Rattus norvegicus: one gene and its partners. The protein of the gene in region 3 interacts with the protein of the main gene of each other region in a biochemical or structural test. Links are inferred from orthologs where the notes say so. Each region holds a gene or a part of one and is shown on either strand. Other genes may lie near its edges. The genes, in order: Rnf40, Uba1 and Ube2a.

What was found.
Region 1: the proteins of Ube2a (region 3) and Rnf40 form a complex in vitro, tested with the Homo sapiens proteins (3 studies listed by BioGRID). The link is inferred for Rattus norvegicus from reciprocal best matches to the Homo sapiens genes UBE2A and RNF40.
Region 2: of the proteins of Ube2a (region 3) and Uba1, one has a biochemical effect on the other in vitro, tested with the Homo sapiens proteins (6 studies listed by BioGRID, with this or other methods). The link is inferred for Rattus norvegicus from reciprocal best matches to the Homo sapiens genes UBE2A and UBA1.

The regions. Positions count from the first base shown.
Region 1 is NC_086019.1:191,642,596-191,651,935, forward strand, and holds the end of Rnf40 (E3 ubiquitin-protein ligase BRE1B), read left to right. Parts: intron 1-2,342; coding exon of another isoform or gene 2,343-2,351; exon of another isoform or gene 2,352-2,424; coding exon 2,425-2,565; intron 2,566-2,639; coding exon 2,640-2,741; intron 2,742-4,642; coding exon 4,643-4,819; 3' UTR 4,820-5,139; downstream 5,140-9,340.
Region 2 is NC_086039.1:4,070,812-4,081,086, forward strand, and holds the start of Uba1 (ubiquitin-like modifier-activating enzyme 1), read right to left. Parts: upstream 9,879-10,275; 5' UTR 9,704-9,878; intron 5,342-9,703; coding exon 5,225-5,341; intron 5,083-5,224; coding exon 5,024-5,082; intron 4,939-5,023; coding exon 4,770-4,938; intron 4,683-4,769; coding exon 4,548-4,682; intron 3,537-4,547; coding exon 3,430-3,536; intron 3,192-3,429; coding exon 3,101-3,191; intron 2,995-3,100; coding exon 2,862-2,994; intron 2,370-2,861; coding exon 2,272-2,369; intron 2,038-2,271; coding exon 1,891-2,037; intron 1,764-1,890; coding exon 1,587-1,763; intron 1,491-1,586; coding exon 1,386-1,490; intron 1,300-1,385; coding exon 1,219-1,299; intron 1,112-1,218; coding exon 956-1,111; intron 1-955. UniProt on the Homo sapiens protein: Catalyzes the first step in ubiquitin conjugation to mark cellular proteins for degradation through the ubiquitin-proteasome system.
Region 3 is NC_086039.1:120,975,093-120,986,122, reverse strand, and holds the start of Ube2a (ubiquitin-conjugating enzyme E2 A), read right to left. Parts: upstream 6,040-11,030; 5' UTR 5,902-6,039; coding exon 5,858-5,901; intron 5,708-5,857; coding exon 5,627-5,707; intron 5,246-5,626; coding exon 5,220-5,245; intron 1-5,219. UniProt on the Homo sapiens protein: E2 ubiquitin-conjugating enzyme that accepts ubiquitin from the ubiquitin-activating enzyme E1 and transfers it to a E3 ubiquitin-protein ligase. In vitro catalyzes 'Lys-11', as well as 'Lys-48'-linked polyubiquitination.

The DNA of each region.
Region 1 (9,340 bases), on a different chromosome or scaffold from region 3:
TTAGCTGTTGCACCGTTGAGGAAACTGAAGCTCAGGGGATGTCAGCTGACTTCTCCAGGGAAGAATAAAGCTGCCATTTGGATCCATGTCTTGTTCCAAGTCCTAGGCTGGAGCCACTCACCTAGGCTTGCACGATGGCTCAGCTGGGCAAAGACACTGGCCTCTAAACCTGATGACCCAAGTTCTGTCTCTGGGATCTATTTGGCAGAAGGAGAAAACTAATGCTCACAAGTTACCCTCTGACTTCCGCTGGTGTGGCATGCTATGTGTACCCAGCATATACTCTGAATGAGGTCATTTTAAAAGTCATTGAGTAACTGTCAAATAGAGCTGTGGTCTTTACTATGTAGTTTTCTTTTGTTTGTTTTGTTTTGTTTTTTAATGTGAGTTCTGAGACTCAGGTCCACATGCTTGTAAGGTTATCACTGCCTCAACTGAGCTCTCTCTCTCTTTTTTTTTTCTTTTTTTCGGAGCTGGGGACTGAACCCAGGGCCTTGCGCTTGCTAGGCAAGCGCTCTACCACTGAGCTAAATCCCCAACCCCCTGAGCTCTCTCTTTAGCCCAATAGTTGTTTTCTTTTCTTTTCTTTTCTTTTTTTTTTTTTTTTTTTTTTGGTTCTTTTTTTCGGTGCTGGGGACTGAACCCAGGGCCTTGCGCTTCCTAGGCAAGCGCTCTACCACTGAGCTAAATCCCCAACCCCCCATAGTTGTTTTCTTATGCGCGTGCACAGGTGTGCGTGTGTGCGCTGAAACAGGGTCTCTATTTCACTCTGGCCATCCTAGAGCTCACTGGGTAGAGCAAGCTGGCTTTGTACCACAAGCTTCAAGCTTTCCTGATGCACTCAGAAGCCAAAAAAGGATCAGATCCCCCTTGAACTGGAGTTAGGGATGACTGTGGACTGTCACATGGATGCTAGGAGCTGAAACTAGGTCCTCTGCCAGACCTGCAAGTGTGCTTACCACTGACCACCGAATGATCTCTACCCCATGGGAGCTCTTGGTCCTCTTGCCTCCGGCTCCCGGGTGCTGAGAGTTCCAGTGTTAGTTTAAGCCTAACAAGCATGGCTGAAGATGTAGCTCAGCTAGTAGACTGCTTACATAGCCTGCAGCAAGCTCTGGGTTCAGTCTCTAGCACTGCACAAACGGCATGGCGGTGTAAAATAACTATAAACTTAGTACTTGAGAGGTAATAGGAAGTTCAAGGCCATCCTCAGCTGTAAAGCAGGTCTGAGCCAGTTCATGCTGGAATATGTAGAGGCCTTATCTTATGGGGAAATGGCGAGAGGATTGAGGTGGAAGATTGGCAGTCTGGAGAGAGGGCTCAGGGGCTGGAGCACTGGCTGCTCTTCCAGAGGATCTGGGTTCAATTCCCAGCAACCACATGGTGGCTCACAACTGCCTGTAACTCCAGTTCCAGGGGTCCCAGCACTCTTACACAGACATGAATGCAGACAAAATACCAGTACACATAAAATAAAAAGTAAGTTATTAAAAAGTAATTTAAAAAAAGACATAGCGGATTTACATTGGTTCTATACCTATTGGAGTATTCTGGGGAATATATTCATGTAAACTGTTTTGTGTCCCTGTTACACACGCTGGGCTTTATGCTGACCAACACTGGGTGAGTCCTGCCTCCCCACCAGTAATCCACAAAGAAAATAATGCAGTTGTCTATCGCTTAATCTTTTTTCTTTCTCCTTTCCCTCCCTCCCTCCTCTTCCCTCCCCTCCCCTCCCCTCCTCTCCTCTCCTCTCCTCTCCTCTCCTCTCTGTTTCCTTTCTCTTCTCTTCTCTTTCTCCTCCCCTCCTCTCCCCTCTCCTGCCCTCTCCTCTCTCTCTGTCTTTTGAGACAGTCTCTCTATGTAGTCCTGGCTGTTACAGAGCTCACTCTGTAGACCAGGTTGGCCTTGAAGTAAGATCCTGCCCCTGCCTCCTGAGTGCTGGGATTAAAGACATGCACCATCGCACCAGACTCTGCTGTTTAAAAGACAAATTCTCGCTGTGTTCCAAGTTGGCCTTGAACTCTCAGTGATGCTCCTGCTTCAGCCTCCCAACTGCTAGAATAACAAATACTGACCACTATACCTGGTTCAAACACTGATGAAGGAAACTAAGGCTGTGTGGAAAAAAAGAAATGGCACTCCTTGGAGATGTGACTTTAGAGCCGAGTCCACAGGACAGTGTGCATGTTAGAGGAGTTGATAGCAACAGAGACACCAGCCTGATGGAGGCTCAAAGACCAGAGGGGGCACCGCAGTCAGGAATGAGGAAGCATAGGATAGAGGTGAGGTTGAGGGCCACAGGCAGGGTTAGCTCCAGTACATGCCATTCTGTCATTCAGGATGTTTGACAGAAGCATCAGTGGACTGTGGTTCCCAGGCTTGGGCACAAGGTCCTCTCCTTCCTGTTCCCGCCCACCCCAGGCTGTAGAAGCAGCCCAGTTGGCTGAGGACCTGAAGGTGCAGTTGGAGCACGTGCAGACTCGGCTTCGAGAGATCCAGCCCTGCCTGGCAGAGAGCCGGGCTGCCCGGGAGAAAGAGAGCTTCAACCTCAAGAGAGCTCAGGTGTGTAATGGGGAGGGCTGATGTGTTACCAGTGTGAGACCTGCAGGTCCTTAGCCTGCCTTCTGTTGTTCTAGGAGGACATTTCCCGGCTGCGGCGCAAACTAGAGAAACAGCGGAAAGTAGAAGTTTATGCAGATGCGGATGAGATCCTGCAGGAGGAGATCAAGGAGTACAAGGTGGGATATGACTGGCTGGGGACAGTGGGGTGGTAGTCTCTGTGGCTGGAAATGAAGTAGGGCAGCAGAAAATGCCACTTGTGGAGTCAGACAAGTGCTAAGCATTTGTCGTATGTAAGCCATGTGCAGAGGGATTACACCTGGACCCTGGGACTTTTTAAAGTAATTCTGCCATCTCAGTGATGAGTCAAGGGAACCCAGGGGCCGTCTCCAGAGTCCTGGGGATGGGATGGAGAATTGTGTAGCAACAGGCTTCCTGAAAGGAATTGTCACCAAAGACAGACCCAAAGCTCGAAGAATGGAGGTGAGAGCTTTTGGAACAGGAAAGGCCCCAGGTAGAGCCATTGTGGTTATAGGAGAGAGACAGTTGAGCAGCAGAAGACTCTGAAGGATGTGGGCAGGTTTGGTAGCCTGTGGGCACACAGTAGAGAAGCTGTCATTAGGGAGGTAGAGGAGCGTGTAACGTTTGGGAGTAAACCTGGGTGAGGCCTTATACAAGCTACACACACACTTTACCACCAAGCTGCATCCCCAGCCCCATCAAGGGTCTTTAATCAAGATGGTGGCCAAATGTGGGGCCAGAAGTGGCTGCAGAAGGGGTGGTGTTAGAGCATTGCAGTCGCTGAGTCAGAAACTAATATATAGCTAACCCTATACCCAGAGATGAGAGAGCAGCTAAGGTGACACTAAGGTGGGACTGCGGAGCTCAGGGATGGGCCACACGAGGATAGAATAGGCAGGACAGCAGTGATGTCCAGGGCGGAGATGGAGGAGCTGGGCAGACGTCACTTTGCAGAGCATTAGCTGTGGGTGTTTCTGAGAGTGATGGGAGCCTCTGGGACCCCTTGGGAAGCTGGAAAAGCACTTGAAGCCAAGGTCAACTGCAACAGAATTGGAAGCCACACTGGGCTGTGGTTGCCGTTGAGGGCTTTTGCCATCAGAAGGAACAGGGGACGTTTTTCTCACCTCGGGAATCTCAATCTTTAAGTGACAGGCATTGAGTGAAGCCTGAGGAGTAAGCAAAAGTGCTGATGGGAGGAGTGGGTAAGGAAGGGAGCCAGCCAATCCCTGCCAGATGCTGCTGAGACTCTGTGAACTTGGGGGGAACAAGGGTCTCTGTAGTGGAGAGGGTGGCAGAGTCAGTGATGAGCTATTCCCCCATTGGGCCTTCTCGGGGAAGGCAACAGTGTGGATGGCACTGTCCTGAGAGATTGGGAAACAGTAATCTGGAGGAGTTGAGATGGCTGACTGAGACTCCAGATGGGCCAGACACTTGCCATGCAGTGCTCACCCAAGGTAGTGACTAGAGCCGAATCTGAGGCCTCCTGGTGGCACTGGGGAAAGTGCACAGCAGGGCCTGGGTTCCAGGGGTAGGTCTGACCAAGTCTGCAGAGAGCATGGTTCTCATGCTCTACCCTGTTCAGGAGTGACTGAGCAGGTACAGCAGAAAAGAAGTGACCAGTGGGGATTTCGCCCAAAAAAGCTGATAAGGCAAGAGATGGAGTTCAGGCTGGACCCCTGTCCTTAGGAGAACCTAGACTCTGCTACTTTTCTAGTTTGGGTTTTTTTGTTTTGTTTTGTTTTGTTTTTTGTTTTGTTTTTTTGTTTTGTTTTGTTTTTTGTTTGTTGGTTGGTTGGTTTTGTCTTGTTTTTGAAGATGGTTGTACTGTGTGACCTTGGCTGACCATGGTCACAGTCTTCTGAGTGCTGGGGGCTACAGGCCTAAGTGACTTGGGCTAGTTTGGAATTTTGAAAACTTGGCTCTGAGCCTGGCTCCTGCTCTGCTGGTTCCCACTTCAGAAGTTACGGTCACATTAGAAGCCTCAACCACTTGGTGGGCTTAGACTGGAGTCTGGGGCCTGTCAGAGTTGCTCCAAACTTAATGTGTGTGTTTGGTCTAGGCCCGGCTGACCTGCCCCTGCTGTAACACCCGCAAGAAGGACGCTGTGCTTACCAAGTGCTTCCACGTCTTCTGCTTTGAATGTGTGCGGGGCCGCTATGAGGCCCGCCAGAGGAAGTGTCCCAAGTGCAACGCTGCCTTTGGTGCCCACGACTTCCACCGTGTGTACATCAGCTGAACCTGAAACTCAGGGGACTTTGAAACATCCATATACCCTAGGGGCTGTGCCCCCAGCTCCCCACTCCCCCGGGGGCAATGGCCCCAACCTCCCTTCCAGACTCCATGAGCCCAGCCCCTCTATGCCGAGATGGTTTGGGGCCACTGGTGCATGCAGGAGAGGTGGGACTAACCGAGCTGAGTGCCATCTCCTGAATGTCACATCTGCAGCCTCTGGGACTCCCGGGTTCACAACATCCCACTGTAACCTCGGGAGCTGGCCAGACCTGTTTCTACTGAGAAGGCAGATACATCCTTGCCCCTAAAGGGGATCCCTCCACCAGGAGAGGGCTCACCACAAGCCTGCACAAGCTCAGTAGTGACCAGGGACCACTTGCGTGGCATTGGGTCCTGACCCAGGGAGCCTTTCTTCACCTCCTCAGCCCTCGGCCTGGCAGGGATTTAGCCTTCCAGTGGAGTTTGCTGTACCCTTGTGTAGCTTTTGTGTTAAGAAGGTGCACTCCTGGGTGTCTGCCCTCTTCAGGGACACTCTGCAGTTACGGACACTGCCTGCTCATAGTCTGATTCAGGGTCATCAATTTTTTTTTTTTTTTTTTTTTAGCCAGACACTTTCCAATCTCCTGCTTTTCTCCTAAGCCCACTTTACCCTTCCTCACACATCCTGATGGTCCCTTGAGTACCTGGCCCTAGCCCTGCTTTCTTTCATCCTGGTGGTCTTAATTGTGGAGGTGCAACTTACCAGGAGGGAAGAGACAATCTAGCACTTCCAGTCATTCCAGGTAGAAGAGCTTGGCCTGTCCTCCAGCTAGCCTGCACTGGTACTCCTGAACACTAGAGACAGGACCTAGTGGAGCTGGGAGATGGCGCTGCAGATAGCTACAGGATCTTTTGGACTCACAGCCTCTGCTCTAGAGGCGTCGTGTATGGGCTGCTAATTGTTATGAATAAATACCCAACCCTAGGCTGAGAGAAGCCGGTCCTCTTGGTCTAAACCGAAGTCTAACTGCTACACCTGGCAAGCACGTCCCTGTGTTGGTTGGGAGCTGGACACATTTGAGAGCCCATTCCAGCCCACAGGATAACTACTTGGGTTAGCAGTAGCAAGCAAATCTTCAAGGACACCCCCACCCCCACCTCCTTCACAATGGAAAAGCTTTTGAATATGGGTTGTCTATGCCCTTTCCCTGGCATTGGCCATATGGATAGCAACCTTTGTGGGTTGCATTCTGGGATATGTAGTCCTTTACCTTCCGGGACCAAGTTTCTCTGTTGGCCACATTTCAGTATTACTTGCAGGCTTTACCCACCCCTACTCTGGGAACACACAGACCACGACAACTCAGCAGGGTGGCTTTTCATTGTGCCTGCTTAGGCTATTAGCTGGACCCTTGGAAACCGTTTGCTCAAACGTGGAGTGTTGTCTCTAGGTTCAGAGCGCTGTCGACTCTTCCGGTGGCGCTTTTACAGTAGTCACGCTGGGATTAGCTCCATGACCAGAACTAAGCGAGGGTGAGGTGGGCGTAGGAGCAGCAGTCATAGCCATGGTTGTAGCCTCAGGCTTAGCAACAGCCATACCTTCTCTAGGCTCTTCAACCTTTTCCGAAGTCTTTCCTTCGTGAGGACTCCGGGCCCTTTCGGCTATCTGACTGCGCCTGGTTTCAGTGGGGTCGCAGTGGCCGAACCAAGTTGGACTGGAGACAGATATGCGGGCTACGGTGACCTCCGGCGTGCAGCTGGCAGCGATGGGAACGCTCGCGGAACCACGAGTAGCAGCAGGAGATGACATTGGGCCACCATGAAGGCCACCCCGGCTGGAGTGCTGGGGTGGGAAAGGTGGGGGAAACGCAGGATATTGCATCATAGAGACCAAACCTAGAGCTAGAAGAACTGAGCTAGTAGTCTTAAGGGGCCTGAGCCCTGGGGTATCACCTCTCTCTCCCAGCATGATCTAAGTAATGGACACCATTCCCTCAGAGGGGAGTCCTCAAATAGATGGGTTAGGGGTACTCAAAGTTTCATGTGGGGTGGTAACTTCCAACATAAAGCCTTTTCCTCATGTCAAGCTCAAGTTGAATGGGCATCCCTGTGCCTGGAACAGTATTGCCATCTTGGCAGGGCCATGAAAACAAACCATCAGTCTGTCAAACTGGTGTAGATCGGTCTTAAAAGACTCAAGCTTTTTTCTCTCAAGTCAGAGATCCTGAGTCAGAACCTCCCCTGGCCAGCTCCAAGCAAGTGGCTTCGGTATTGGATATGATCCTATTTCAGCCGGAGCTAAGGCAACTGCCTCTGAGAGCAGTTGATGGGGACTATTCTCAGAACTTACCCAAGCCTTTGGTGCTATACTCCTGGTCTTTTCATCGTGCTCACTGCCTTCTGATCTCTTCCTTCAACCCTAACCAGACTTCCCTTTGCACTTTGCCTTTCTCTGAGGTGTCTATCAAGAGCCAACAGCATAGGTTGGCTGTACCTACAGTTCCTTCCCAAGCTCCAGGCCTGAAACCCACTGTTTAAGGAGTATGAGGGATGCTCCCTTCCCCTCTCACTAAGGAGTATGAGGGATGCTCGCTCTCCCCCGACTCCTCACAGCACTAACCCTCCTCAGGCTTTGGCCTCTGCTCTGTAGCTGCATCTCCATCCATTGGTTCTCAACCTTTCTAATGCTAAGACACTTTAATGCAATTCCTCCTGCTGTGGTGACCCCAACCATAAAATTACTTTGTTGCTACTTCATAACTGTAATTTTGTTACTGTTATGTATCTATTTTCCCATGATCTTAGGCAGTCCCTGTGAAATTTGAGCCCCAGACTGCTCTGCGTCAATCCCTAACTGTTTGAACCTCTATCCCCACCCCACTCCTGACTTCCATCTAGAGGATCCCTCCTTCTTGAGGCCCAATGCCCTGTAGTTAGTTCCAACTGTCATCCAACCTACTTTAACAGTCATGGCCTCTGGCCTTTAAATCAGGTATTGCTCTGGTCCCCCTCTCATTGGAGTTCCTTAGTGTTCTCAGGACTCGGGACCCAGGAACATGAAATGGCAATTACCCCTCCCCACCACACCCACCCATATTCCTGGAACAGAAAGGGAAAGAATGACAGCTTATTCTGGGATTTGGGATAGAGGTACAATAAAGTCCAAGGGAGGACAGGAGGAATGGCTGGTGAACATGGCCTTAAGAGCCCTGACTGCTCTTCCAAAGGACATGGGTCCAATTCCCAGCACACAATGGCAACTAACAACCATTTGTAATTCTAGTTCTAGGGGATCTGACGCCCTCTTCAGGCCTCTGCAGGTGCTGCCTGTGCACGATGCCCAAGCACATGCAAATAGAACACACGTGCACACTATTTATGCATCCACCTTTCTGCCTTCACCAGAGTCCTTAAGAGACAGGCTGTGGCTAGTGTTGATCAAGGCAGCCACTCGATGGCCATGACCAGACTCAGAAGACAGACAGTGCTGAAGCCAGCCGGGCGTGAGGGCTTCCTTTTAGTAGTCCCAACCACAAGAAGAAAAGGCATGGCCGGTGTGAGGTGGCCCAAAGATCTCCAGGTCACTCTAACTTTTCGCCATGACTTACTTGTGGGTCTTAGGTAAATGGCTGCACTTTGTAGAGCCCCAGCCTGCCCCATGGCAAGAACCTTTGGGCTATCCTGGGGATGGGACAACAAGCCAGGGTACCACTCAAAGAGGACAGGTTGCAGGAGAGGCTGAGCTAGACCCAGGATCCATGAGAACTCAGAGAGGTAGCTGCCAGCTCTGAGGATGAGGACCTGGGAGCTCTCCCTGTGTTACAGGGGAGGTTGTGGGTGTTGTAGCCAGAGAAGCTGCCAAAGAGGTTGCAAAGCTGGGCCCAAGTTAACCAGGACTAGAGCCCCGAGGCAGCCATGCAGTTTACCAGACCTCTCTCACAGGGACTGAATGTTAAAGTTCTATAAACCTGTCAACCTTCTACAAGCAAACACTGGACAGGAAGCATAAGGCCCCTGGGGAAAGGCAAATGGGACAATACTGAGCTTTTGGGGTCCCATGGGCCCTAGTTCTGGAAGTGAACAACTTTGCTGTTGGCTGAACAAGGAGATAAAAAGTAATAACACCTAGGAAATCGTATTCCCTTTATTCTCCAACTATTCAACATGACCACAGGTGACACAACACTGTTACTGACACACAACACTCAAAATGGGACTTCCCTTCACTCCATGGGGACAAGTGAGGTGAGCGTGGCTTCCTTTGTGGGGGCTAAGACTTCTGGGAGCCACCCACTTCAGACTAGGGTGGGGTAGTCAGGATGGTTTCAAATCCTCACCCCGATTCACGATTCACACCCAGTACTTTACGAGTTACTGTCTGCATTCAACATCAGTTCTAAGTCTCACCTTAAGTGCAGATCAGCTCCACCCCTCTCCTATGTTTGCACTCCTTTGCCTACGGGTGCTGGGCTCTTCCCCAAGGGCACTTCTGAGGGCTCTAGGTCTGGTACAAAGTTGACTCCATTGTGCCTTCCAGACTTAATTC
Region 2 (10,275 bases), about 120 Mb from region 3:
CCCCACTGGGAGATAACTCTTAAAATACTTGCTGCTGACTTCGTTCCTCCCTTGTTGATTGTGCTGTGTTCCTTTTCTGCAATAAATCACCCACTAGTCCTCCTAGGCAGTCACCGAGTTTGGGGATATTTTTGGAAACCCACAAGACAACTGTCCCAAAGCAGCAGTGATAAGGGCTAGACCGATGGCTCAGCAGTTAAGAGCACTTGTTGGTATTCCAGAGGACTTGTTGGTCTTCCAGAGGACTAAGTTTTGGTTCTCAGCACATCTGGTGGCTCACAACCCACTTATAACCCCAGAATTACAATTCCAGAGGACCCAACATACTCTTCCAGTCTCTACAGGCACTAGGCATATACACAGTAGACATACATACATGTAGGCCCTCATATATACATGAGTGCTGGGGTTAAAGATGTGCCACAGTTGTTGAGGGACCTGCATGAAGACCAAGCTGCACTGCTGTTGCATATGTCGGGGGAGGGTGGACTATGATTGAGATGTAAAGTGAATAAATAAATTAATGGGGAAAAAAGATGTACAATAAATGAAATGAAAAGGCAGCTCAGTGGCAGTCGTTATAGCTAGCTATGCAGCATGCTAGATAGCTCTAGATTCACCCCCCAGTACTGAAAAAGAAAAAGAAATAAACCGACTTGACGGTTGTTCAGAAAAAGAGATGAAGGGTTGGGGATTTAGCTCAGTGGTAGAGCGCTTGCCTAGGAAGCACAAGGCCCTGGGTTCGGTCCCCAGCTCCGAAAAAAAGAACCAAAAAAAAAGAAAAAGAGATGAAAAGACCTGATTCAAGGTAGAGCTGAATGAATGACAGAACAGAGGATGAGAAGGGCCCAAGGAAAGATAAGTATATCTCTACTAGAAATACCATAGATATAGGTAAGAAAAAGATAGGAAAACAAGAGGTCAGAGAGCCATCTCCTACTCCCATCCTTCTCACCGTGACATCCCAGGGCCGGAAAAGAAACTGTCGGTTCAGATTCGATTTCTCAATGGTGTCCATGTCTGTGACCACGACCTCTCCACCCTCTCCACAGCCTAACCCAATCATGGCAAAGTTCTTGAGCAATTCACAGCCAATGGCCCCTGCACCCACCTAAGAAACGACCAAGAAGAGATACAATAGCAAGTCAGATGATCCCAGAAGGGGTGGCCAGAGATCAAGGGAGGTGACCACGCAGGGTGTCCAAGGAGACCACTCACCAGGAAGTACTTTTGCTTGCCCAGCTTCTCTTGAAGGTCTGAGCCAAATACAGCTACCTGCCCATCATAACGGTTCTGACGCTGAGGAATATGAAGTGAGATGGGTCAGAGAGAAGCTTCCCAAGAAACACCCCCAATAATGCCTTCCCTCCAGCCCATTCACATACTGGGAGGCACTTGTCCTCTGTCAGAGCCTCTTTGTCCTCTGGGAGACATTCAAGAGCATCAAAGTACAACCACTGCATGATGGGCATAAACTTTCCAGAACAGGCCTAGTGAAGGAGAAGGAAAGAGGAAGTGGCCAGTGTTAATCAGGCCCTTACACATTTGGATAGCAAGTAATAAAGGCAAGACAAAACCCCACTTACCTTCATGACTTCCTGGGCAGCGAGGCCCCCAATGAAAGCATTTATAGGTGCCAGGTCCCCAGCAGCAACATAAGCTAGCTTCCGAATAAGGTCTTCATCCACGTTGTCCTGTTGTACTGCAGGTGGGGACCGAGCATTCACAGCCTGAGCTAGGGTCACCAGTTCTGTTGCATCTTCCTGGTAGGGCAAAGGAAACAAGTAAGGATTTCCCAGGCTACTATCAAGGGATGGACAGGTAACAAGCACAGGTATGGGTAGGTCGTTAGCACCAAGGACTTCTATCCTAGCTGGCCCAACTACCTACCTCATTTCGTGGTCGAGGTGGTCGGTTGTGCTGAGCACAGAATTGGTGCAGAGCTTGAAAGCCAATGTGCAGTTGGGCAGGGCGAGAATACTTGGCAAAGTCAGTCATCACAAAGTCAGGCTCTGCCAGTGATGCTGGCAAGGATTTCTGTGGGAAGGCAGCATATAAAAAGAGAAGAAATGAATAGTAAATTTAGAACTGTATGAGGCACACACCTCTGGCAAAATATTTATACTACATTTCATAACAGTAGCAATGAAAATAATTTTATGGTTGGGGTCACCACAATACAAGGAATTGTATGTATTAAAGGGTCACAGCATTAGGAAGGTTGAGAACTACTCACTGTTCTAGAACCACCTGCCATGAACCAATACTCACAAAGCTAATCTTTTTAGGTACTTTGACCTGGCTGACGATGCCTCCACGGATGTAGTCAGAGAAGTTGGAGGTGTCACAGATACTAAAAGTATAAGGACCTAGATAGAGTAGATAGGGAAGCTTGTCAATCTTGCATGCCCTCTTAAATTTACAAAACTCAAGAGACAAGGAAAAAAATATGCCTGACCCAATGTAGACACCAGGTACTTTTTGAACCACAATCCCCACTGGGGATAGGAAACTATCTCCCCTCTGCTTCAGAGCTAGTTCAGACACCATGAAACTCTCTTGTCATTGGTCCCAGGTCTACACTAATGTCAGGTGATCACTGACATGATCAGATCTTTTGATCTGCCCTGTTTGTTCAAAACACAAGAAGCTCCTTCTCCTCAACTCAGACCCTGGGGGCCCATGCTCATTAACAATTCAAACATAGTTGGCCCTTCTTCCCCATGTCCATTGGCTCTTGTGGGATCCTGGATTCTCTGATCCACTTCAGGCACTCAAGATATAGTGCCCATCACTCTGAACTCCTTTCTTTTAACTCTCCTAGCCAGTTCCCCTATGATACCCCCATGGTCCCAGCTCACCCAGCACTTTGATCTCTATGGGCTGACATCCATTGAGTTGGACCATGCCCTGTACTTCTGAGAATGAGACGAAGTCACCAGTCTCAAAGCCATGTCGGGCCTCATCAAGGCAGGTAACCACACCGGGGTTGTCCTGGTTGAAAAGGAGTGAGCCTCAGAGGCAAGTCAAGGTACAAGAGTACAGAGAAGGTTGCTGTTGCCTAGCTGTTTGCCAAGACCCCTGGGGCTGATTTCCTTACCTTGGTGACCATTGAAACCATAGCACTGAGTGGCTGCTCCCCATTGGAATCTGTGAGAACCATTTCCTCTCCAAAATCACAGAAAAGTTGCCTATAGAAAGGGACAAGAGGACTGATGTCTGAGGCCCACACAAGGCCCAAGGCATCTTTCAAGGTACATTGGATGTGTGCTGAACCAACTTGGTACATAACAGGGGATACAACAGCACTAATGTCATGCAGGGAGAGATGAAGATACACAATATGAAATGTAGGTTGTAGAAGAGGGATAAGGGTCTTGGCCAAGGAAAGGACGTGGGGAAAAAAAGGCATGCAGAAGTGGTACTCACCCAAATAGGCCTCTTGTATCTGCCACCACTAGCTTGATGCCACGGCTATGACAGAACTCACCCACTCGAAGCTGTTCTTCCAGGGGGCTGTTGGTAAGGACCACCACCTGTGGAGAAATAGAGTTCATGTCAAGAGGCCAGAACTAGGAGGAAGGGGAGAAAAAAGAATAGCAGAGACTAGTGCAAAGAGGTTGAGGCAGTCCTGAAGACAGTTATCCTCCTGGTCCTCCAGACCTCTCTCTTAAAGACTTTCTGGGGATCAGATTCAATGAGAAGAAAACACAGCAGACAGAAAACGAAAGCTTAGAACACGTTGGGCCAGGTAGAATGGTACTACTGGGCACAGACTGCAGCTGACTCATTTGTTTGCTAACTGCCTACAACCATGCCCTGCCCTGTGAGACACAGGCAGGAAGAAACTGAAGTCAAAGTCTGAGCTCACTCTTTTTTTTTTTTTTTTTTTTTTGGTTCTTTTTTTTTTTTGGAGCTGGGGACCGAACCCAGGGCCTTGCACTTCTTAGGCAAGCGCTCTACCACTGAGCTAAATCCCCAACCCCTGAGCTCACTCTTATAATACCTACCTGTTGATGGGTCTCAAGATGGTGCCTACTCCATCACAATTTTAAAACTGCTCTCTCTACCTTCTCCAAGAATATCTATTTCTGTCCACCAGGATGAGCTCCTACTACTATGTTTGATTGTTGTTGCTACAGTACCTTAGCCCTTGGGGACCTTAGCCCCTGAGGCAGCTCTCATAGCCTAGGCTTTTTAACTAGTAAATGCCTGTGCCATCCTTCCTGTGACCACACTGCTATTTTCCATGCTTATTCCTCATAGGAACTCCATGAAGTCGGTTCTGCTGCCATTCCTATTGTGAAATGGAAAGAGCAAGGCCCAGGATCTAAGTGACCTGCCTAAAGTTACACTCATAGCAGGACACTGTCTCCACCTTTTCCCCAAAGGCAGGCTCAAGGTCTCATCTTTTGTGCATCTTCTCTGCTCTCATGCATACTGCTCGATGCCCAAGACAACTCATTAACTAGTGAATAGTGCCAACAATACAAAACACGAGTTCTTTCTATGAAAATCAAGCAGGAGGCTGAGCAATCACCAAGTACCTGGAAACCACTAAGGAAGTCTTCAACAAGAGGCCCAGTGTAGGCAGTAACAGGTACATAGCTGTTGAGTTCAGCAAGTCGGGGCTGGGATACCTCAGCTCGATTTTTACCAATGTCCTCCTCCCGAAGGTAAAACTGTAAGAGACAGGTGGGTGGGAGGATTAGGCTGTGGCACAAAGAAGTAGGTATCTCAGCAGGGAAAAGGATGTTGGGAAGAGATACCTGGGAGGAGAGATCAGCCCACTGTGTAGTGCCTTGGTCATGTAGGGTGACAGCCTTGACCCCACCAAGGATGATGTTCTTAGCAATCTCGACACCTAAGCCCCGCAAGCCTGAGACGAGGACACTGGATGTCTGGAGCATTTTCATTGCCTCATGGCCCAAAACGTACCTGTCAAGTTAGAGGGTACTCCAGGTTATGGTCCAGCCCACCTTCCCCATCAAGTTCTTTCAGTGCCCCTTCCTGCCTGACTTACAGCTGCCGGGAGTAAAGGCTCTCGTCTATGTCTGCTTCACTGCCGTTCTTCGCCATTCCCTGGAAATAGAGAGCAAGAATGGGTTCAGGACAATATGCATGAGTGGGGTGTGGGGTGTGGGGTGTGGGCAAATGGAGAATAATATAAAAGACTCCCTTTCCTACCACCATACCTGCCAGTCTGCAGGGAGAAGATACTCACGTTGGTTGGCACTGAAGACACTTCGGACAGCACTGACTGTGCAGAGGAGCAGTTAGAACCTGGCTTTGGATCAGGCCCGGACACGCGACGTTTCTTGGACAGCGGCGAGCTGGACATCTAAGGAAGAAAGACAGGATAGAGGTAAGCCTAGGATATATGGGTATTTTTCTGGTTTGTTTGTTTGTTTGTTTTAAATACAGGGTCTCACCATGTAGCCTTGATTGGCCTTGAACTATTTTTCTACGTATTACTGGTAAAAGTGGGGGAAGATTTAAGCATTAGCAAATCTACATTAGGAAAGAAACTGGCACAGAGAGATGAAGTGGCTTATCCAGGATCACACTGCTGTGAGACTTAAGATCTGAACCAAGGTGGTTTAGCTTGTAAATCCACACAGCTGACTGCTAAGTCATTTTATCTTTCCCTAGCTCAGCATAAGGGAAAGGTGCCAATCCTATGGAGTAAAAGGAAGATCATTCTGGGATGATTGGATGTGAACTCAGGAAATACTCAGCTTTCAAATCTTGTCCCTGATAGGTATCATGTAGAGCTGTCCCCTCACTTTGTAAAATGGGTAATGATATAGCTCTATGGGTTGCTGAAATGAGAAAAAGATACAGACCACAGGGCCTAGGAGGGCTCAAGGCAGAGCTTTACAAAGTCCAAACCTTTCTTCCAGTTTTAGGAATAGACAATAACCCAGGCCAATAAAGCAGGTTGCATGAAGAGAGAAAATACACACTTCTAAAGCCTCTTCAGCATGTTAAGTCCGTTCCTTCAATAGGTTAGCAGTAATAATAATGACTGTTTCCTAGGAGTCTTCTCTGTGTCAGAGGCCACACTAAGCACTTTACTAGCCTTGTCTCTGTCTGTCCTCAGGGCAACCCTGTGGGAATTGAACTATTACTCAGCTCACATGAAAGGAACAACTTCATTCGGGGATGTTTGGTGACTTGACCAAAGTTCCCACCGAAGAGTGGTTGAACTGGGATCAGACCAGATCCAATGACTCTGAAGTCCAAGCCACTTCTCAGAGCTAGCAAATTTCATGCTCTCAATTGTCCTGATCCTACAAGGCAGGATTTAAAGTCCCTGTTGAACAAATGAGAAAACTGAACTCATATGATCAAGTGACATACTAGATCCCAGAGAAGGCAGATAACAATACAGCCTGCTGTTGGAAGTGAAGTCTAATGGTGGTAGATTCAGATAAATAGAAGATAGGACCTAGAATCTCTTTGTAGGCCCAGTAGCTTTTCAACATACCAAGCCTTTGCTTATACCCTGAGTTTTCTGTTCATACAACTCTTACAGTGAAGCCTTTTCTGACCCCAAAGACCACCAACATACCTAAGATTCCATCTTGGCACTGTCACATTCTAATATGAACACAATGACAAGCGCTCCTCACTATCTACCCTATCAGTCACAAGAGAAAGGGCTTTGTGTAATGCCAACAATGCCCGTGAACTATACAAGCCCACTCTCTTACCATAAATAGAAAGTGAAAGCTTGGAGAACTCTCACTTCCCCTGGCTCATGTCATTTGTCCAGTTTGTATGGCTCTCCTAGATGAGTAGTGTCAGAATTTGGCTTTGGGTCCAGCTCAGACTGCTCAGAGATGGGAGGTAAAGGAAGGGAGAAGAGGGGAAGTAGGAGGCTGCCTAGGGTTGAAGTCTGCTGGTGAAGTTGCTGGAAATGCTTAGATCTAACTTGGGTAGGAAGAGAATTGATAAACTGGGATGGAGACAGAGGTAATTCCTATTTTGCATTTACTGGCAGTGACTTGGCATGCAGATCTTATTTCCTCTAAGCCCATTTTCTCCAAAAAAATGGAGAGATAAGGAACTGTCCTCCTGATGAAGCTAAAGAGGCTATCTGTGGTCAAAATTCAAGGACCTGAGGAGAGAGGCTCCTCCCAAGGCACCCACAAGGGCCTCCATTACTTAGTTATCTCCTTTCCCTTGTCATTGGGTGGTTTGTTCCAGGCATATTCTTTCTCTACTCCCCACATCAGACAAAATCCAGAGCAGAGAGCTCTTTATCAGACCTTAACCTTTCCACCCCCACCCAGTGCTGGCAGCAAGGCTCTAAGTAAGCAGGTTTGGGATCACTGTTCAAAAGTAGACTTCAAAGCCAGGTGTGGCAGTACAAGCCCACAACCACAACACTTAGGAGGCAGAGCCAGGAAGACTCTTAAGTCTGAGGCCAGTCTGAATTATGCAGTGAGACTCTATTTCAAAAAAGAATATAGGAAGGGAGATTTCAAATGTCAGGTTTTGGAAAGCCCCTTTATCAAGGCAAGCAGAAGAATTTGGGACAGAGATTCTGGGACAAGAGCTAGAGATTCCCCTACTCCCATCCAAAAATAAAACCAAAAAGCAAAATACAAAAAAACCCCAACAATAAAAAACAAAATAAAACCAATCTCCATTCATTCTCTCTCAACATGTGCTCAGCCTTCTTTGTTAGAATTTATTTTCTAAAACCTACTTGGCAAAGCTGAAATTAAAGCATTTCAAACTTATCTGGGGTCTCCAAACTGATGACTGAAGCCTGAGAATATTCTAGAGCAAGACTGAGCAGGGGAATCTGGGTAGGCTTAGGAAGCAGAGCCAGCTGACAGATATTGTACAGGGGAAGATGCTGAGGCTTGTCAAGCTTCCTGAGAGATTTTAAATGAGAAGTCTTGAGGAGTGTAAGAAAGGCATCAGAGGAAGTGACTGAGCTCAAAGAGCTGTGAAGGAGATAATAAAAGACGCCTTATAAATGGTGGGGGTGTTGGACAGAGGTATTAAAGACTCAAACCTGGATTTCTAGAAAGAGGTGAGAGAATGTAGACCCTGAGACTACTACAGGAAGATTCTGGGGCTGACAGGCTTAGATTCTAGTGACAGAAACCCTTCAACCAAAAGTAGTGGGAATGCACAGAAAAATGACTTTGATGTTGACACTGTAGTGACAAGAAGCTACGAGATTAAGTGCTAAGAGGCTAAGAGAGGTCTCTGAGGGCAGACTCTTGGAGAGGGATTTCTAATGGAGCAACAAAGGCCTTGTGTGGATCTAAACAGGTACCACAGCTGCTGATAGGGTGAAGGGAAGATGAATTTCAGACAGTTCAAGCCTTAAAAAGGTTACAAAGAGCTAATCATGGTGGTATACACCTTTGAGTCCAGCACTAGTGAGGCAGACAGAGGCAGTGAAACTCTGTAATAATGATGATAATAGGTTACCAAGCAAATATTGGCTAGATCTCCAAATAGAGTTAGGTTTCTCTAATCAATTCTGTGACTCCATAGTAAATAGATACTGAGGTTTTCTACTCCTGTGGAAGATAAATGGGCCTGCTGGGGAGAAGGGGAGTGAAGTCAAAAGCAAATGCTAAGAGTCTCTGAATACTAGGAACCTTTAAAAAGAATGAGGGTAGATTCTGAGGCCTGTTGGTAGATTAAGGGATTTATAAAAAGAGAAACTAGAATGCTGGTCTGCCTTTGAAGGCAAAATTTGGGTCTAGGATGAGACCATCTGGCAGATGGGGCTACAAATAAAGAGTCTGAAAGAGTAGATGGTGGCAAGAGATCACTAATGGAGAACTATGTCCAAACAGGTCCTCCCCCGTGTCTAGTCCCCTGAGAGAAGAAAGGAAATATACTGGAGGTTAAGAATGGCTGATGGAGAAGACGATGCTTTGAGAACAATGAGAGCATGAAAAAGGGGGGAGTCCCTAAAAGCAGGGAGAGTCTCTAAAGGTAGATGCTGAAAAGAGTCTAAGAATGCCAGGCGTCCATGTTGGAGGATGCTATGTCAAAGTGGTATTCGGATATCTCAAATGTAGGAATGGGTTTCCCGCGGAAAGGCCAGGCACAGAGCTTTTCACCGGGTTTAATCCAGATGGCAGCTCTAAGGACAGATAGTATCCTGAGAGGGGGAGGGGGAAACTCTGGATGAAAATGCTAGGCAAGGCTCTTCTTTCGGAGATGAAGGCCACACGGACCTTTCCTGAAGTCTGGCCCCTCTTAAGCCATGAGGGCAAATACTGAAGGGCTAGGAAGAGTCTCAAGGGAGATTTCGGGGCAGGTCTTCAAATAGCACACAAGTATGGACGGCTTTCCTGAGCAGCGACGCCGAATTCCGGTGCCTTTATGGGAGACTGTGCTCGGAGTTCTGATAGGAAATGCATGGCTCAGGATTGGATCAAGATATCTTGTTATAGTGCTACACCCGAAGCCTCCAGAAGCAGAGATAAGGGTATGATGTCAAGGTCAGATTTCGGAGCCCAAGGGAATAGGGTGGTCCTAGACAAAAATGATCCATCCCGCCCCAGGATTTGCACACCCCCACACCCACTTGTCTAGTGATTCCTAATACCCAGGTCACCGCAGTGCACTCAGACATCGGGCTGGCAAAGAACCAGCAGGGACCCTCCCATACCTCCCTGAGCCCTTGCGCTTCGAGCCAGGTGCAGAGAAAAGCTATTACCAATGCCGGTTCCCCGGGTCGTGCCGCCGCCAACTCCTCAAGGAGCCGAAGTCAAGCTCGGCCGCCACCCTCCTCTTTCTCCTTCTCCTCCCTGCCGCCTGGGCCAGCTAGGATCACTGTCGCCTTCTCCTCCCCCGACCGCGGTGGTTGTGGTCTTCCTTGACACCCTCCTTCACCCCAGCAGCCGACACAAGATGGCGGCGGCAGAGCCCAAGGCCGGAACAAAACCCTGAGCCCCACCCCCAGAAACCCGGATGCAAGAGGACCGCGCCCACTCATGAATCATGTATTTTCCCTGCCCAGGTTGGGACTTCTTTAACTAGAAGGAAAACAGCTCCACCAAGTGGCTGTGGAGGCAGTAACTAGAAAAACAGGTAGAGCATGAGGCCATGCCCCATGAAATAGGAATAAAGAATTACTACAGCTAAGCTGTCAAAGAAATCAAGGAAGGACCTCAAAGCCATTCTTCCTAATCGTGAATTATGAAGCAAGGTGATGGGTTTACTAAGACTAGGCAACCAGAAAGAAGATGTTAAAGCATGCCAACCACACCCAATGCTCATGAATAATGA
Region 3 (11,030 bases):
AACAGAGAAGTAAACAAGATGTAAAACACTGAATAGTACATTTCCCAACTACTGTTACTTTAGAAACTGTTTTACTCTGAAGGCCATATATAGCTAGTGTATAAAGAAGGAAAGGGAACAAAGTTAAGGAATGGGCATCAGAGCACGCGTATGCTTATGATCTCCTGCTTATAGTTTTCCTTTTTGTTGTTTGAGACAGGGTCTCTATGTGGCCCTGGCTACCCTGGAACTCCCTACATAGACCAGGCTGGGCTTGAACTCATACTCATCTACCTCTGCCCCTGAGTGCTAGGAGTAAAGGTGCATGCTGCTACACCCAGGAATCTTCCTCTTCTTGAGAAGTAAAGCACAGTCCTTCCTTTACAATACTGTAATGCAAATGGAAATAGTAGACCATATTCAAATACTTAGAATTCTCTTATGTATAAACAGATTAGTGATAAAATCTCACTAAATTATAGGTAATGGATTTATGACCAAGAAGCTGCTCTAAAACTAGGAAGCCTTAACAGCACACAGAGACCCCAGCTACTCTTAGCTGAACCTTCATTGAATGTGGTACCCAAAGAGAGTAAAGCAATACACAAGGAAAGCAACTGCAAACACACCACAATGGCTCTCAGAGTACAAGCTCAAGGCTAAGTTCCTGGCACATACATGGAGGCTCAGGAGATCCCATGCCCTCTTCTAGCCTCCACGGGCAACAGACTTACACATGGTGCACAGACATGTGGTAAAACATACAGGTATCACTGATTGTATGTAAACCTCAAGTTTTGGATGTGCAAAAGAAGGCTAATAATTAGTATCCACTGTGACACTGCTGTAAGGCTTAAATGTGGCAGATGAGTATAGTCATAGTCATAATGTTCCCCATAAATGAACAATTACTTTAGCTATAATTCTGCCTCATATATCTAGAGCTGGCTGAATGAGAGAAAAATACAAACTCTAAACTTTACTACCAGTCAGAAGTACACAACTAAATTCAGATATTAAGCAACACTCATTTCCTGTCACAGAGCAAACACTTAAGATTAAGTATATATGTGGCCAGCTCAAATTCCTTGGCTGAAGCCCTCTGCTTGTGAAGCCATAACTTTGTCCTGGAAAAGCAACAGGAGTCTTAACCTAGCTACTACTGAGCGAATCTAATCTTTGTAAAAGTTTTAGCTATCTTCAGAAGTGAAATGTGTTTTTGTTCACTTGATTTAGAAATTAAGACTTACCCAAATCTTATTCAATATATACATTTAAAAGACATTTCTTTCAGATACATTAAGTAAGGGGAGCCTCTTCAGTAGAACCCTCAATGCAATTTATGAGATCTAAACAAATGTTAAGGCAATTTTAAAAATCATAGGCTATTAAACAATTTCAAACTAGCGCTCACCTTCAGAGGGCTAGGCTTCAAAATAATGAAAGGTGGGGCTGGGGATTTAGCTCAGTGGTAGAGCGCTTACCTAGGAAGCGCAAGGCCCTGGGTTCGGTCCCCAGCTCCGAAAAAAAAGAACCAAAAAAAAAAAAAAAAACAAAATAATGAAAGGTTAACACTCATCATTGTTGTGTGAAATCTTTACTGGTTTTTACTAATTTTTTTTAAAACTTCCTGAGGAGGTCAAAATGTTTTAAGTATCAACACAAATACACACGGAGGCCAGAAAAAATGTGTTAAATGTCTAGTATATGGCAATAAAGACTGATATAGTTGAATTGATGAATATAAGTTCTGCCTAAAGACATAACATAGATTAAATGTCTTTGAAAGTGAAGTTAAGAGTTAGACTTGATGGCCTATGTGACAACAAATACCTCTAATTCTAGCATTTGGGACAGGGAAGCAAGAGGATCAGGAATTCAAGGTCATCCTCAGCTACATATTTAATTTGAAGCCAGCCTGGATTACAAGAGACCCTGTCTTAACACACATACACACACACACACAGAAAAAGTTCTTAACCCTTTCTGCTCATGTTTCTTGTCATTTGACTAACTTTTCCTGGAGAAAAAGCAAATTTATATGGACTTAATTTTGTTTTGGTGACTGAAAATTCATCATCACTCTAGTGGACTTTAAGAGATACCTTTTTAGGGGTTGGGGATTTAGCTCAGTGGTAGAGCGCTTGCCTAGGAAGCGCAAGGCCCTGGGTTCGGTCCCCAGCTCCGAAAAAAAAAGAACCAAAAAAAAAAAAAAAAGAGATACCTTTTTAAAAGGAAAAGATACACACACTCAAATTCTTTAGATCACATATATCATAAAAAGTGACTACAATTATCCCACTCAGTAATTTTGAACATGATAAGAAATATATCCCATAATTTTTGTATTTAAGTTATATGCCTTTAATTCCAGCACTCAGGAGGCAGAGGCAGGTAGATCTATGAGTTCCAGGCCAGCCAAGGCTGCAAAGAAACCCTGTCTCAAAAAACAAATTTTTCTTTGCATCAGATTTCCTCTTCTTAACTAGGATCTGGTTCAGAAACAACTACCAAGAAATAAAGAAAAGTTGTGTGAGGGCTTTTAATTTGGAAACACATTTGTGATAGCAAATCAGCTGTTATTTATTTCTACCAAATCTCTTCCCTAATTATAAATTCTCCGAAAGTAATTAGAAGTAATGAAAAAAAGGCCAGGATTGGCTTTTGCTAGTGAGAGCTCTAAACAGCTGAGGAAGCAATCCATGTATACTAGACTGTTTTACAGAATCAGAGACAGATACTGTCATTTAGCTTAACTCCTTTCAGCAATGCCATGTTAGAGATAGATACACACCATCAAAATCAACACCAGTAATGTCAAAGGCAACAATACAGGAAGATAATGGAGTCTACAAGTACCTTTTCAAATGATACTACTTTAAATATCAGGAGCACTCTTGAAATCTTAAGTAGCCAGACTTTAGCAAAATGATGTGCTATTAATAAGCTGTGCCTAAGATAAAACAGTCTGAGCAAAATGGGGGTGTGTGTGAAAGTAAAGCCCATTATTGCTGAAGTGGTTTACACCAGCGGTTCTCAACCTGTGGGTTGTGACCCCTTGGGGGTGTGCTGAATGACCCTTTCACATGGGGTCACCTAAGACCATTGGAAAACACATTTATTTATATTACAATCCATAACAGTAGCAAAATTGCAGTTCTGAAGTAGTAACAAAAATAATTTTATGGTTGGGGGTCACCACAATATAAGGTAATGTATTAAAAGGATGCAGCATCAGGAAGGTTGAGAAGCACTGAACTACATATAAAACTTATCTATAAAGACTTAGCGGGGCTGGGGATTTAGCTCAGTGGTAGAGCGCTTAACTAGGAAGCTCAAGGCCCTGGGTTCGGTCCCCAGCTCCGAAAAAAAAAGAACCAAAAAAAAAAAAAAAAAAAAGACTTGGCACAACCTTTGATTCTAGAATTTTCAAGACACAGGCAGATGGATCTCTTGAGTAGAGTGCCAGGATAGCCAAGGCTACACAAAGAAACCTTGTCTCAAAAAACAAAACTATATATATCTCGATATAGTAGAGAAAAGTTAAGTCTAATTAGCTCTTTCACTGACTAGCTCTTACATTAAATTCACCAAAGTTGTGTGCCCTAGAATCACTCAGTCCTCTGTCATTTCTTTTTATTGCGGCAGGTAACATTTACCTAACCAGTGAGATAGAGTAAAAGCTAACAGTATTCTAGTAACTATCAATGGTTTCCAAAGACTATCTTAAGTATTTGAGACAAATTCCAGACGAGGCTGATTTTGACTTACCTCACAGCGTTTGGTTACTAGCAGTAAGTAAAAGCAGTCTGAGTCAGCAACATATATAAGAAGTAGTTTTAGGGGGTTGGGGGATTTAGCTCAGTGGTAGAGCGCTTGCCTAGGAAGCGCAAGGCCCTGGGTTCGGTCCCCAGCTCCGAAAAAAAGAACCAAAAAAAAAAGTAGTTTTAGAAATGTTTCTGTTATCACCTTCAAACTGAAGGTGAATGTGTCTATGTATCTGTGCACATTCGTATGTTACTAAAATACCCCCAATTCCAGAGAATTTCATGAACTCAGAAAGTTCTAATCATCCTTTAAGTGAATTAAACCTTTAAAAGGTTCAACCCCCCCCCACACACACACACACAATTTGGTTTATGCATATAAAACTGTATCACTGACCATTTTGATTCTGCTATTGTAGTCATTCAAGACATTACCAAATAGGTAATGGGACTGGAGTAAGGCTTTACATAGACTTGTTATAGTACCTATTTCAACTGCACAGGAATCTGTAATTATGTCAAATTAGAAGGGGGCTTTTTCTTTGTTGCTTTATTTTTGAGACAAGGATTCACTATGTAACTCTGGCTGGCCTGAAATTACAGTAAGCCAGACTAGTCTCAAACTCATAGAGAGCTGCCTGCCTCTGCCTGCTCTGCCTTCCAAGCGCAAAACTTAATGGCATAAGACTCCACGGCAGCATTCAATATATCAAATTTTGAAGAGACCTTAACGTGTGTTTTTAAAAGTTAAGCCTAACTCGTTTGTTATGCACCTCTTGATACAAACTCAACATTCAAGTAGGCTGGACACTGGGTACTACTGTGAGACAAATCTCAATTCTGAAGTTGCTTTGAGATTACCAATTAGAAGATCTAAACGAAAGCACACACTGTAAATGAATTTAAAATCAAGGAACAACATTATACTGAAATTAAGTATGTAAGAACATCTTTAAAGAAGTGAGGCTGATGTGCCTTCTGAATCATATTGTTGAAGCCAGGGAATTGTATGTCAGGGAATCTTGCAAGCATTCATTCAGCCCTCAACAGAGCACACACTAAGTACTGCTGAACACACTTCTTGCCCTCGGGATGGAACGCATAGTGAACCAGATGGTCTCTGGTGGACCGGTTTTATATTGAATTATCTCCGTGGGGGCTAAAGTTAGCAGAAACACTGCTCGAACCTCCAAAATCCTGAATACCAGCACTGTGGCACTTCTTTTAAAAAGTGACTACTTTCACCCAGGATATATTAAACGGAGGGGGAAAAAAACCCAGAAAAGTGCAGTTTTAGTTAAGCATAGGACCATCCAGAACAACCTGCCACACACTGAATTTCACTTGAGCCTTTGGTGGGCAGAAGAGGCAGGGCAAAGCTGCTTCTTTAAGCTGGGGATGCTTGCTGATGCCAGGGACCCCCTTCTCCCTGGTGAGTAGGCTCCTGAAAGGTGGGCTAAGAAACTCTCTTACCATCCTCAAATGGGGTCCCTTCGGGCCTGCAACACAGGAAAACAAAAACAAGAACCGGTTAGTACCAGCCAAGGGGGTCCACACCTTCCCGCAGCCTCTGAAGAGGCGGCTCTGTCAAGGTCTCCCATCCCTGCCCTCCGTCCAGCACAGCTGTCCGGTGTTAGGGAAGCCACCCCTGTCCCCTCGGGGCTCTGGAGGCAGCGCAGGCCGCCACCGCTCCCCACCCCGCCCCCCTAGAACCCCAAACGGTTCCCCTGGCAGCGAGAACGGAGCTAATCGAGGCAGAGGCTCCGGGGAGGCGCCTAGGCCCAAACAACCCCAACTATCTTCCCCTTTCCCCCCGCGGCTCATCGAGGGGCCGGCCCCGGTCCCCTGAGTCCCCGGCGAGGGCCGGACCGCAGACTCACCCAAAAATGACCGCGTTCCAAACCATTATGTTGTTCTCCGACGGGGCTCCACTCACTCCAGCCGGAGGATCCTCTTGTAACCTTCAGAAACACACAGCGGCTCCCCTCAGCCCCGGGACTCGCGGCCGGCCCCCCTCACCACCACACCCGGAGCCGTTCCGTTTCGGGATCCGCCCTGTGCCCCGGGCAAGCAGCCCCCTCAAGCGCCTTTCCCTAACCGACGCCGGTTACCTCTTGAAGTCCCTCATGAGGCGGCGCCGGGCCGGGGTCGACATGGCTTTAGCAGGGTCAGAGGTAGGGCATATACCAGGGTCCGCGGTCCCTGAGGAAGCGGAGGAAGCCGAAGCCGAGGGAGCACCGAGAGGAACAGCACTACCTCTCCGAAGCCGAGGGTCGGTCTGGCGCCGGCTAAGCACCACCCCTGAGTAGACGGGGGCCGAACCAACCTGAGGAGAACGCGCGGGTGGGGTGGGGGGGAACGCCTTACGCCGGGCGGACTGTACCAAGTCGGCTACGGGGCGGGGGAGGACCAAAGTTGTTCTGTCAGTCACGCCCCGCCTGAGAGCCCCAATCCAGGACCGTGGGGCGGTGGCGGTCAAGTTCGAGGGGAAAGGCTAAGCGGGCAGCAAAGGCAGCCTTCAACTGTCGGGAATTTAAAAGGGAAACGCATGGGCTCCACTTGCGGATTTGAAGAGGAACCCCTGCGAAGTTTTCTTTTTATAGTTACTTACTTTCTTTGGGGGGGGGGGGGTCGTGGGGGAGGAAATCTTTCTCTTTCCTTTCTTTTTTTCCTCTTTTGAAACAAGGTATCCTGTAGGCCAGGGAAGCTCTAACTCACTGTGTGGTTGAGCATGACTTTAACTCCTGAGTCTCCTGCTTTCACCTCCCAAATGCTGGGATTACAAGAGTGCACCACCATACCAATCTTTTAATTACTTGTTGTTTTGTTGTTGGCTCCCTGCTTCTTCCACCTTCATTGATTGATTGATTGATTGATTGTACGGTTGGTCTCTTGTAGTATCTAATGTAATACAGGCTAACTCAAACTCACTGTGAATCCCAGAGGCTGGGCCTTGAGGTCACCTCAGCCTGCCAGGAATATGCCTTAACCTTTCTTTGGTTTTGACAAGGCATGATTTATTAAACTGCCAACTACGTCTAGGATCGGGGAAAGAGGAGCGGAGAGAAGATTAGTTGAAACAGGAGAGTGGGGGAAAGAGTTGGCACAGGCAAACAAGTTCTCAAAAGGCAAGGATGTTAGGGTCATGGTCCTGCAGACACGAGAGGCTGGGGTAACTACTCAGAATCATGGGGAAAGTAATAAATAAATAAATAAATAAATAAATAAATGGCTCTTGAGTGTGAAAATGGACTTTGGGTCCATCTTCTTTGAGATGAGGGTGCACAATTCAATCCCAACTTTTAAGTCTAGGGCTGAATAAAATGACATTGGGGCAGTGGTGGAAATGGGAGCTTCAGGCAGGGAAAATAGACATTTTACAAATGCCATGGGCACTCACAACTTGTCTCTGGAACCACATTTCCCCTTGGTAATTGATCAAGCCAAGCAGCTAGTTTAGAGGAGTCCAAGGTATGAGCTTATCCAGCTGAAGAGTATTGGAAGGACAGGAGATGGCAGGGAAAGGTAGGCGCTCGGGGGAAAGCTGCAAGTCACGGGCAGGCAAGCCTCACAGGGAGTATAGGCACCTGCAAAAGCAAGAACAGTTTGAAAGAAGCATTTTCAAAGATCAACCCAAAAATCACTTAGTAGGCAGACAAGAAGATACTTATTTAAGAATGCAGGAAATGATGAGAAAGGCAGGTTTGAGTTAAATCCGGGAGAGTTTTGAATGTCAAGCAAATGGACTCCTTGGAAGGTAGTAGAGCCAGGAAGCGACACCATTAGAGCTGGGTTAATCAGAGTTTGTCCCGAGAGAGCAAGAGAGTACCTGAAGGGCTCTTGTGGTACTGTTCAGGAGAAACATTGTACCAGGCAATCAAACCTCCCAGAGGCCAAGCCCATCCTTTACCATGGGACCTACTACAGCTTCAAATCTCAACAGAGATTTTCTCTCACATTAAATCCTGCTCACGTTTTGAAATCTCCCCCCACACACACAGTATGAGAAAATGTTTTAAAAATTGAGACTGAGGGGCTGGAGAGATGGCTCAGCGGTTAAGAGCACTGACTGCTCTTGCAGAGGTCCTGAGTTCAATTCCCAGCAACCACATGGTGGCTCACAACCATCTGTAATGGGATCCGATGCCCTCTTCTCTTCTGGTGTGTCTGAAGACAGTGACAGTGTACTCACATACATAAAATGAATAAATCCTTTTTGAAAATGAAAAAAAAAATTGAGACTGAGGGCTGGAGAGATGGCTCAATGGTCAAGAGCACTGACTGCTCTTCCAGAGGTCCTGAGTTCAAATCCCAGCAACCACATGGTGACTCACAACCATCTGTAATGGGATCAGATGCCCTCTTCTGGTGTGTCTGAAGACAGCTACAGTGTACTTCTATATAATAAATAAATAAACCTTAAAAAAAAAAGAAGTAGAGATTTGAAGTAGCCATTAACAGAAGTAGGCATAAAGGGTGAAGGACACATTCAGGAGAGGAAATTTTGAATGGGGCTTCCTGAGCTCCTGGGAGTGATGAAACAGCCATGTGAAGATGTCCAGAAATCATCAGGTGCACAGGACTAGAAAGCACATACCAACAGGAGTGATTTTACTAGGTGCTTGATGGTAGGTACCTCCCTAGCTAACAATTGTTATCCCCGATTAACCCCAACACATATATCCATTAAAGCAAGTTTCCCTAACAGTGTCATATTATGGCTGTTGGTGGGATAAGGTTACCAAACCAAATTTCAAAAATCCTTTTCCCCTCATTTAGAAACTTGAAGTCTTCTATTTCACACATGAAAATAGCAAAAGCAAGGCCTGCAAAAAGAGCATTTGTTCTCTTTCACTGCTTAACTGATCACCACAAACCGCAGGTCAAGTCCAGTTCCTTATGCTTGTAGGACTCGGGGCCCTATTTCATTATTAAATGCCAAACTGGGACCACTCCCAGCTCCCAGAGGCCACCTCCATTCTTTGCTATGTGACCTTCTCTCTTGCTAGCTCCTTCACATACTTTGAACATTTTTTCTATAAGAAGAATGCAGTGTACTTCTCTAACTTGTCAGATTACATCAGACCCAACCTTGATAATCTCTTTATCTTAAAAATCCTCTAAGTTCAGGTAAGTTACTTTTTCAGTGGACTGGAATATCCTCAGGATTTGCCTAGCATGTCTAAGGCTCCATGCCCCATCCCCAGTACCTAAATAAATAAATAATCAAACAAATAAAATCTACTCAATTTCTTCACTATAAAATCTAGATTAGGGGCTGGCGAGATGGCTCAGACGTTAAGAGCATTGACTGCTCTTCCAGAGGTCCTGAGTTCAAATCCCAGCAACCACATAGTGGCTCACAACCATCTGTTATAAGATCTGATGCCGTCTTCTGTTATGTCTGAAGACAGCTGCAGTGTACTTATATAAAATAAATAACTAAATATTCTTTTTAAATCTAGATTAAGCATTGGCTTAATATCTAGACAAGGATATGTGGGTGCACCAAGGACCAAAAGTCTGTAAAGCTGGCATCATTCCAACCCTGCCTTTCCCAGCAAGAGTGGGATCTATATTAAGTGTGTGGGAATCCCTCAGAGAAATTGCACCACCAAAACTCTATCTAGACGGTCTAGTGTGTCAAGACAAGCTTCCTGAAACAAGCCTATTTCAGTTTTGCTGTAAAAGAGACAAAACTCCAGTGAACAAGTGCATGAAGCACTTAAACCATATTCTGTGGAAGTGGATAGGCTGCCTTGTTTACTCAAGGAGTGTGGGATAATGTCACAGGTGAGGCAGGTACAAGATAGAAGGAGGCCTGTCATTGGACAAGAAGGAAGGATGGGCAGGAGAAAAGTTTAAAAGAAGTGGAGGAGATTGGAATGGAAAGGAAGAGACAGAAGGGAGAGGGAGAGAAGTAGTGGCAGGACAATATGGCAGGTTGTTACAAATGTTTTTAAGGGATGGATGTGTATTGGGCTTTGTATGTTTAGGTGGGCAATTATATCTTATCAATTGGGCCAAAGGTTATTGTGTTGTGTGTTCTTTCATGTGTAGATTTAAGTGTAATGGAGTGTGGAGCAGCTGGTCTGGGCTGCCACGGAGTTTGGATTTGTTTCTGGCATGAAAAGCTGCCTTGGGAACTAGATAGGTAGAGAGATTGCTGCCAGGCTCAGAGAGAGGCCTTCGGCAGTGTGATATGGGATGGAGCAAAGCTGGTGAGAGGCTTTGCTGACTGAGAATTAAGGTATCCAGCAGATATCTTGGGGCACCACAGTGCAGGACCTAGTGGGGGATAAAAGACAACCTTCCTTTTTTTATTTTTTATATTTTTACAACAACAAAGGAGTTCATATGTTCACTTTGTTGTTTGCAACAAGAGGCGAGCTGAGGTCTTACTCCATAGCCCAAGGTGTCTTGGAAATCACTATGTCGTGTAGCCTTAGCTGGTCTCAACTCATGGCACTCTTCCTGTTTTAACCTCTTGAGTGCTGAGGTTGCCACTGTGAACCATCATACCAAGACTGGGAGAAGTACTTCACAGGAAATAATGAAACATTAACTTGGAAAACCAACAGTGACAAGGTTAATTAAATGTCCTTAAATGAAAGGATGGGGGAATTTAGGCTCCACAGCCAGTTTTTCTGAGAGTTTGAGAGAGAGAGAGAGAGAGAGAGAGAGAGAGAGAGAGGAGAGAGTGCTACAAAGTGTATACCATTAAGAAGTAGCATATAAGCTGAGCATGGTGAATGGTGTCTTTAAGTCCAGCAATGGGGAGGCTAAGGCAGGAGAAGTGCAAGTTCAAAGCCAGCCTGGGTTACATAGTGAGACTGGGAAGAAGAAAGGGTTAGGAGAAGTAGGGAGGGAGAATTTATCGACTAGATATAAAGGTCTGGAAGTAATTACAGGATACAGTAGCCATGTTCACATTTTCTGTGGGCTTGTCTATTTTGTGTTTGAAAAGTTCCTTGTCTTCCTTTACATCTCAAGGGCCTGAACCAAAGCAATTTACCAGCCCCAAGGCACCTGTCTCCTCTGACAGAGAAAGGAAATTGCATCCTGGGAACACACACACACACACACACACACACACCCCTCATCAAAGCAAGGTTGCCATAGCAAGCCATAACACAGAGTTGTTTTACAGCACAGGTGATTATCAAACTAGAACACACTACCTGTTGCACAGTTAGCCAAGCATTCATTCACTCCTGTCTCACCTTGACACCTTGAAGAAATTCCCTCTTCACAGCCAAGGGTTCCACAGTGCCTGAGAGCAGA